Linked DNA regions of Oryctolagus cuniculus. The main gene of each other region encodes a partner of the protein of the gene in region 2 in a complex. Links are inferred from orthologs where the notes say so. Each region holds a gene or a part of one and is shown on either strand. Other genes may lie near its edges. The genes, in order: MICOS13 and CHCHD3.

Region 1 (4,247 bases), on a different chromosome or scaffold from region 2:
CTCCTCCGCCACCTTCCGGACCACACCTGCCGCTGCCCGGCAAGATCACCTGGTCTTCCCCCCAACCCCGCGAGAAATCCTGACTTCATCCGGGGCAGGTGCAGCCCGGCCTCCGCCCCCTGGTCTGCTCTCCATTCCAGCCCCCTGCTAACACACACCCTCGGAGCCACCCACCCGCCTGGGAGCCCCCGGAGTGGGCTCCTTCTGCCTGGCCCAGCCTTTATGGTGGGGCCGTCTGGGGAGTGAGCCAGGGGCTGAGAGCAACCTCTTCCCAGCTCCGCACCCCGCCCTGTCCTTCAAGCTTTCAAATGCATTGTATAAATAAATTAAATAACACACACACCCCTTGTGAAAAAAGAAAGGGAGAAACAGCCCAGGTTCATAGGGGAGTCTGTCCTGCGCAGGCACCGGCCCATCACGCCTGGGTGGGTCGGGGTCTGTCTAAAGAAGCCACGGGCAGACAGGAGCTCAAAGATGCCCAAGGCAGAGGCGGCCCAGGGGGCGCAGGGCAGATGGGGGGGATCCCTCAAGTCTCCAATCTCCAGATCCAGGCCCGAGTCCTGAGACCCCGCTCAGCGGCTGACCCCAACCCGCCTCTCCCAGGCCCCAGCGTGCCCCAAGTACACGGTGCGGGGGCCCAGGTGCTGGCCTCGCCTCCTCCCACGCTGTCGCCCACCACGCACGGCCTCCGGGTCTCAGCAACGCCCCTACAGGAACCCCCGACCCTCTTCTCCCGCGCAGACTCCGGACCCCGCCTCCTGCTGGACCTGGGGCGGGGGCGCCAATGGCCTGGCCCCGCCCACCTGTCGCTGCACCTGTCCGCTCTCAGTGGCAGCTTCCGGTCAGGCCGACCCCTTCCCAGGCCCAGGTCAGCGCACGAAGCCCCTCGGCAGGGGCCTCTTCCCAGCCCCCGCCCCGCCCGCAGCAGCCAGGCAGAGTGGACGATGTGAGATGGACAGAGATGGGCGGACCGACAGTGGCCAGCGGGGATGAGGGAGGAGTGGGGGGCCGGAGCTTTCCCCCTGGACAATGGGGACCCACCGCGCGCCCCCAGCTGCGCACTCACCCACTCGGGCCTGTTTGCCCCAGTGTCCGGCGAGGCTGGGGTCCTGGCCTGGGAGTCACGCCAACGCCCTGAGGGTCTCCCTTCCCAGCCCAGTGCGGCCGGGCCCCCGACCGCGCCCCCTCCCGTAGGGCCCGAGTCACGTGACGCCAAACCCACCTCCTCGGGGGGAGGGGCCGGGCCGCCAGGACTCCGCGCCCCCCGTTGCCTGGCAACGGCCTCCGCCCGCCCAACTCCCGGCCACCCGCGCCGTGGCCCCGCCCCCGGGGCGGAAGTTCCGAACGGCGCGCGATCACGTGACCGAGGGCCCGCCTCTCGCCCACAATCCCGCCCTGGCGTTGCCGGGACAACCACCTTCTCGGCGCGGGCTCCCTAGGTCGAAGGCTTTTGTCTCCCGCGCGGGCGCGGCTGACTTCGCCTCTGACCCCTTCTTGGTCACCCTTAGGCTTCACTCCAGACCCCCTACGTCTCTTTCCACGCACGGACGCCGGGGTAGGACCAAACTACATTTCCCAGGAGGCTTCGCGGCCCAGCGAGTTCACGGGGCGGTACTGACTACACTTCCCAGACGGCCTTGCGGCTCCCGGGTCGCCCACACAGCTTACATTTCCCAGAAGCCTCTCTGCCCGTAGGACCCTCGCTAGTCCTTCTCCCGAGTCTCAGAGGCTTTAGCGGGACTTCGACTCCCGGAGGCCTTTGCGGCTGACAGGAAAGACTACAGGTCCCGGCGTCCTCTGCGCACCGCGAGCGGAAGCGGCGGGCAGTGTGGTGTCCTTGCGCGGAGCCGAGCGACCATGGTGGCCCGAGTGTGGTCGCTGATGAGGTTCGTGGGGCGGCCGGGCGGGGTCCCGAACCCCCGAGAGAGTCCCCGTCAGGACCCCCACCCCGCCTGTCCGGTTGGCTCGCGGTGGTCTGCTCCCCGCTCAGATAGGAGCGCAGACTGGTCGGAAGCCACCGGGGGTCGCGGTCGCCCCTTCCCGCCGCCTGTGTGCCGTGAGGCCGGGGCGGGGAGTCCCGCATTGGGGTCCCCCGGGAGGCCAGGGTGCCCACTGCCCCTGCCCTGTACCGTGGGGCCGGCGCGGGGAGTCCCGCATTGGCGTCCCCCGGGAGACCAGGGTGCCCGCTGCCCCTGCCCTGTGCCGTGGGGCCGGCGCGGGGAGTCCCGCATTGGCGTCCCCCGGGAGGCCAGGGTGCCCACTGCCCCTGCCCTGTGCCGTGGGTTCGGGGGCAGGGAGTCCCGCATTGGCGTCCCCCGGGAGACCAGGGTGCCCGCTGCCCCTGCCCTGTGCCGTGGGGCCGGCGCGGGGAGTCCCGCATTGGCGCCCTCCGGGAGGCCAGGGTGCGCGCTGCCCCTGCCCTGTGCCGTGGGGCCGGCGCGGGGAGTCCCGCATTGGCGTCCCCCGGGAGACCAGGGTGCCCGCTGCCCCTGCCCTGTGCCGTGGGGCCGGCGCGGGGAGTCCCGCATTGGCGCCCCCCGGGAGGCCAGGGTGCGCGCTGCCCCTGCCCTGTGCCGTGGGGTCGGGGTCGGGGAGTCCCGCATTGGCGTCCCGGGAGGCCAGGGTGTGCACTGCCCCTGCCCTGTGCCGTCGGCCGGCGCGGGGAGCCCCGCATTGGCGCCCCCCGGGAGGCCAGGGTGCGCGCTGCCCCTGCCCTGTGCCGTGGGGCCGGCGCGGGGAGTCCCGCATTGGCGTCCCCCGGGAGGCCAGGGTGCGCGCTGCCCCTGCCCTGTGCCCTCCCTGAGCGCCCACCTCCCGCGCCGCAGGTTCCTCCTGAAGGGCAGCGTGGCCGGGGGCGCCGTCTACCTGGTGTATGACCAGGACCTGCTGGGGCCCAGCGACAGGGGCGAGGCGGCGCTGCGCAAGGCCGAGGAGGTGGTGCCGCCGGCCGTGTACCAGCTCAGCCAGTACGTGTGCCAGCAGACGGGCCTGCAGGTGCCCCAGGTACTCGGCCGCGCGCCCTCTCCGGCTCAGGCCGTGCGCGGGGCTGGGGCGCCCTCCCCCCCACCCCGACCCCGCTCACCGGCCCGTGCCCCTCCCCCTCCCCGCAGCTCCCGGCTCCTCCCAAGATCAGCTTCCCCATCCGAGAGACCTGGGATAAAGGTAGGTGCGCGCCCCGCCCCTGGGGACCACCCCTCTTCCTGCGCTGTGTGTCTCCCGTGGATCTCGAGGCGAGGGGGGGAGGGGCGGCTGGGCCGTGCCTCAGTTTCCCCGCTGGTCTCCAAAGCCCGGTGCCCGGCCCCGCCTCCCCCGCAGGCATCCTCACGGTGATGGCGGCTCTGTCTGCGGCCCCGGCCAAGGCCCGCGAGTACTCCAGGGAAGGCTGGGCGTACGTGCGGGAGCGCACCAAGCAGTGAGCGGCCCGGCCGGCCCAATAAAGGCCTCTGCACTTGCCCCTGACCCGCTGCTGGCCCGGGCGCCGCGGGGGGGGGGGGGGGGGGCTGGGAGCCCGCCTGGGGCCGGCCCTGCGCCGGTGGGTGGGGCCAGGGTGGGCTCGGCTCTCGGAGGCGGGGGGCGTGCCAAGGCCCTCCTGCCCTACCAGGGCGGGCAGTGTCCCTTCTGGCGGCCCTGGGGGTCCGCAGCACCCCTCGCCACGCAGCTCTGTGACCATGGAGGTCTCTCGTGGGGTGTGGCAGCTGGCGGCTGCGGGGGGAGGGGCTGCACCCGAGGCCATCAGCCCCTCCATGGGGACAGGGGAGGGGTGGGCCCAGAGGCCCGCACTAGGCGCTAGGCAGGGCGGCCGAGTGGCCACGTGGCCGGGACCGCTGGCGGCCGTGAGCTCGGGGGGCTGAGCCGGCGCTGGGGGGCACCGCGGCTGCCCCTGGGGGGTCGTGGTCACTGCACCTGCCTGCGGGCCTGGCGCAGCCCCCGGCGATTTACCCCGAGTGACCCCTCACCGCAGGATGTGGTGGGTGAGCCCCGGGGAATCCTGGGACACACCCCCGGGGGCCAGCGCGCCCCACGTCGCGGTTGTGGCTTGGGTGGCCCTGAGGCGCGCGCCCTGCACTTTCTCGGCACTCGGAGCCGGGTGGGCACCGGAAGTCAGGACAGGCGGGAGCCCGCCCCAGAGCGCCCAGTCCTAAAGCCTCGGGCAGCCACGCACAGGCCACCTCTGGTGTGTGGTAGAAACTCGGGGAGGCAGTTTGAGATCCACGCACGCGAGGAGTGTTCCGAAGACCCACGGGGCG
Region 2 (4,295 bases):
TTAACTAGAAAGAAAACCTACAAAATACCTAGACAAAAAGCACGCAGGCGACAGCCAGAAGCCAGCAACTCACTTCCCAGTCCACTCGTGCGTACATGTCTTACCTAAGTTTGCATGAGTTAATGTAGCCATTCCCTCAACGGTTCTCCTGACAGCCACAAGGCACTGTCAGATGCTCACATACATGACGTCAAATCCTCAGACAAGTGCCAAAATCTAGATTTACAATCAAAAGTGCCTTGTCCAGAGCCACCCAGCTTCTGAGAGGCGGAGCTAGGATCCAAGCTCAAGTCTGCTTTCCTTCACGGTATTCTCTTTCCACTATAATACAGAATCCCTGTGAAATGATGGCTGCCTTTTTGTATTTTTTGTTTTGTTTTGTTTTTTGGACAGGCAGATTTAGACAGTGTGAGAGGGAGAGACAGAGAGAAAGGTCTTCCTTTCCGTTGGTTCGCCGCCCCAAATGGCTGCTATGGCCTGCCCATCCGAAGCCAGGAGCCAGGTGCTTCTCCTGGTCTCCCATGGGGTGCAGGACCCAAGCACTTGGGCCATCCTCCACTGCACTCCTGGGCCACAGCAGAGAGCTGGACTGGAAGAGGGGCAACCAGGACAGAATCTGGCGCCCCGAACGGGACTAGAACCCAGGGTGCTGGGGCCACAGGCAGGGGATTAGCCCAGTGAGCTTCAGTGCTGGCCGATGGCAGCCTTTAATAAAACCTACAGAGGGCCAGAAGCAAAGAACGTACCTCATCTTTCCAGCACAAGACAGAAGCAACCGTGTTCCCCTTTATGGACAGCAAATATGATCAGACACGTGCCTTGTCCAAGGTCACGGGCTAATAAATAGCTGACCCAAGATTTAAACTGAGGGCTGTTTAACTGTACGTTGGCACCCTTCTGACAATAACTTCAAAGCAATCAGAGTGACCTCTCAGTACTCAATGATTCCACCGCGTGTCATTTCCAGAGGAAACTGCACGGCGCTGAGGAAGGCCACAGGACACAGACAGTGGCACGAGGGTCACAGAATTTCAGACGACCAGAGATCTGAGATCCTGCCCCATCCTCTTACAGATAAGGAAACCGAAGTGCAGAGACCGCCAACCCGCCCTGCAGCAGAAGCACTTGACGCCACAGCAAACAGTGTAAGGGCATCTAGGTGAAGGGCGTGCTATGAAAAAAACACAGAGAGGTTGCAAGGAGCATGGCGTGAGCTCGAATTGAAGGAGCAAACATAAGACGTAATATCGGAGAAGGAAAAAGAAAAAACTGAAGAATGCACTCGTCAAGTTTTCTATCCAAGAAAGATACTTCTTCAAGTTCTGAAACGCAGATTTTTAGAGCACCTTTCCATTTCAGGAGAACACACATCCCCACTGCCACCTTCCTCCATCTTCATACTCGCTAGGCATCTCTGAGCTGTGGCCAGACTCGCCGCCAGTTCTGTCTGCTGTCCCCCTGTGTCTGTGTTAGAGTGACACACATTTTCCTAACTAAAATCTTCTCACCTAAAACTTATCTTGTGCTGCCTTTCCTCTTTCACCCTCAGAGGTGGAACACCCACAGCCTAAAGGCAAGATTTTTTTTTTAAATCTCTGCATAAAACTCAGAGTTTCCAGTCCTTTTTATTGTACTCCAAGGAGGAGCAACTAAACCACCAAGAACACAAGAATGCAGCCTCAGATGCTATATCGCAAAATGCAGCACTGTTGTTAATGAATCAAGAAACCTTGGTCACAGACCAAAAAGAGTTCAACACTGTGCGTATTTAGTAAGTTTTATTTCCCGGTAACACAACAGTAAATACATTCATTGAGACTGGTTGTGTGACAGGACAGCAGGGGAGGGAAAATACAAAGTATCTTAAGACACCCTGAAGTCCACATGGCTTTATTTCCCGGATGCAGGCTGGTCCTTGCAGCGGAGAGCGTGTTAAGTGAAGTGAGTGCTGGTGTGCTGACTCCCTGGAGCAAAGTCAAGTTTGAGTTCAGGCGCCAAGTACGTGGAGAGGGCGTAAGAGAACTCGCTATCACCTCTCAGAGCTCTGAAACCTCGCAGGCCTATCCCAGCCCGGGCCCGGCCGGCAGGCACCAGTCCCGGGAGCCACAGGTCACAGAGGCAGCGCCCGGGAAAGCGCAGAGACCGAGAGAACGGGAAGCGGCGGGGGCGGCGGAGGCGCGAGCCAGGGCAAGGGGTGGCCCCGGTGGGAGCGCGCTCAAGGAAGGACTGGAAGCCGAGGCAGGCGAGCCGGCGGCGGCAGCGCACCCGGGGAGGGAGCCTGTGCCCGCGGGAAAGCGGGCTGCGGGCCCCGAGCCAAGGGGAGTGACACCGGACCCGCTGCACAGACGGGGCCAGGGCGGCGAGGGGCAGCGAGGAAGCCCCCGAGACCGCCGAGCAGGGCAAGGCCAGCGGAGGGTCTCGGGGCACCCGGCGCGCCGCGGCCGCCCCGCACTGCACCCCTCACCCGGCCCAGGGCCTCTGCACGAACGCCCGGAGAAGTCAAACTCCCGCATCCTCCCCAAGGCCGGCTTCGGGCCGGTGAGGTGCAGGGAAGGCCTGGCTGGGGGTCCGAGCAGCGGGCAGCAGAGCGGGTCCAGGAAACGCAGGGCAGGGGTCCGAGCCGTGGGCCGCCCGCCCGCCGGAACTCACCCGGATGCCCTTCACCACGGTGATGTTCTCATTCTCGTCCGCCTCGAAGGTGACCCGGCGGGTGCTGGCGGTCCCGCCCATGGCTCCTGACCCCGCTCCTGCACGGATCCAGCACGGACCACGAGCGCTTCACAACTCCGCGCACACGCGCGCCAACGTGCCGGGACCCTTCCCGGGCTGCACGGGAGCAAGGCCACGACCCCAAGGAGCAAGGAGAAGGCGCCGGTCTGAGTTCCCGCCTCCTCCGGTCACGTGCCGAAACAGCTACACCTCCGATTGGTCAGAGCCGCGAAGGGCCCGCCTCCACTCGGCGGAGGGTGCTGGAATTGGCTGGCCTGGACCCGGATGCTATGGCAACAGGTGCTGTTTGACAAGTTTCCGGAGCTCCCGGGTGAAGTGGGAATTGTAGTCCCTATCGGGCACGAGGGGTGGTGGGACTCTCTTGCCTCGTCCCGGAGGACGCAAGGCATGCTGGGAGTTGTAGTCTTTCCCTCCAGAAGGGGTTGCTCTCTGGGCAGCTTGGAAGAAGTGCAATCATCGCTCAAGCATGCTTTGAAGACGTTATCCTGAAAACTCAGCAGAGTGAGGTCAAAGACGCAAGCTCGTTCTTAACGGATCTCAGGTTCATGGGGGAGATGCACAGCTTCCTGTAAATACAAATCCCTGAAGTAGAAGTTAGCAGCTCATTATTTTAGTCTGAGTCATTAAAAAAAATGCATTTTCCTGTATCCCCATTTCATAAACTATGTAGATGTTTGATTTCTTCTTGTAAAGTGAAAACTTAAATGCTGTCGTTATAAAATCTACAAATGAGAAAACACGAAAAGTACATTATACTCCGTATACGGAATTCGGTTTCCAAGTTTGTGTCTCCTTCCACTTCTGTTATATACCTTGGACCATAACACAGTTACGAAGAGAAGAATAGTATAAGTTAGTGGGACTATGGAAACCACAGCAGGCAAAGTTGAGAGAATCCATCTTGGAAAGTTTCTGGTTCACTAGAGTATTTCATTTCTACAAGACCAGTAAACAATTTTCAAGTTCCACCTACATCCTTACAATTTTTTTGCTTAACACTTTGCTCCACATTAGCCATACGACCCTAGTTCTTTTTTTAAGATTTATTTATTTATTTATTTGAAAGGCAAGAATTACAAAGAGGTAGAGGGAGAGAGCGAGAGTGAGAACGAGAGAGAGAGAGAGAGAGAAATGTCTTCCATGTGCTAGTTCACTCCCCAGATGGCTGCAATGGCCAGGGCTCAGCCAGACCAAAGCCAGGAGCCAGGAGCTTCTTCCAGGTCTCCCATGTGGGTGCAGGGGCCCAAGGACTTGGGTCACCTTCTGCTGCTTTCCCAGGCCCATCAGCAGGGAGCTGTTTGGAAGTGGACCAGCCAGGACTCAAACTAGCACCTGGTGTGGCACAGTGCTGGCCCCATGACCCTTGTCCTTACAAAAGTAATGAAAATATGCACTACCTTCAGGTGGCCGCTTTCAACATTATCAACAGCAGGCCATGACACCTTGTGTGTCAGACATCAACAATAATAATTTATCACTTATTCATTTTCTCTTTGTTTGAAAGGCAGAAGCAAAGACAGAGACAGAAAGATCTTCCATCCACTGGCTCACTCCCACTTGCCTGC

What was found.
Region 1: CHCHD3 (region 2) and MICOS13 share a complex: the UniProt entries of both Homo sapiens proteins name them as parts of the mitochondrial contact site and cristae organizing system (MICOS) complex. The link is inferred for Oryctolagus cuniculus from reciprocal best matches to the Homo sapiens genes CHCHD3 and MICOS13.

The regions. Positions count from the first base shown.
Region 1 is NC_091447.1:60,302,017-60,306,263, reverse strand, and holds MICOS13 (MICOS complex subunit MIC13), read left to right. Parts: upstream 1-1,406; 5' UTR 1,407-1,857; coding exon 1,858-1,886; intron 1,887-2,825; coding exon 2,826-3,003; intron 3,004-3,110; coding exon 3,111-3,162; intron 3,163-3,315; coding exon 3,316-3,416; 3' UTR 3,417-3,452; downstream 3,453-4,247. UniProt on the Homo sapiens protein: Component of the MICOS complex, a large protein complex of the mitochondrial inner membrane that plays crucial roles in the maintenance of crista junctions, inner membrane architecture, and formation of contact sites to the outer membrane.
Region 2 is NC_091434.1:168,944,080-168,948,374, forward strand, and holds the start of CHCHD3 (MICOS complex subunit MIC19), read right to left. Parts: upstream 2,902-4,295; 5' UTR 2,731-2,901; coding exon 2,650-2,730; intron 1-2,649. UniProt on the Homo sapiens protein: Component of the MICOS complex, a large protein complex of the mitochondrial inner membrane that plays crucial roles in the maintenance of crista junctions, inner membrane architecture, and formation of contact sites to the outer membrane.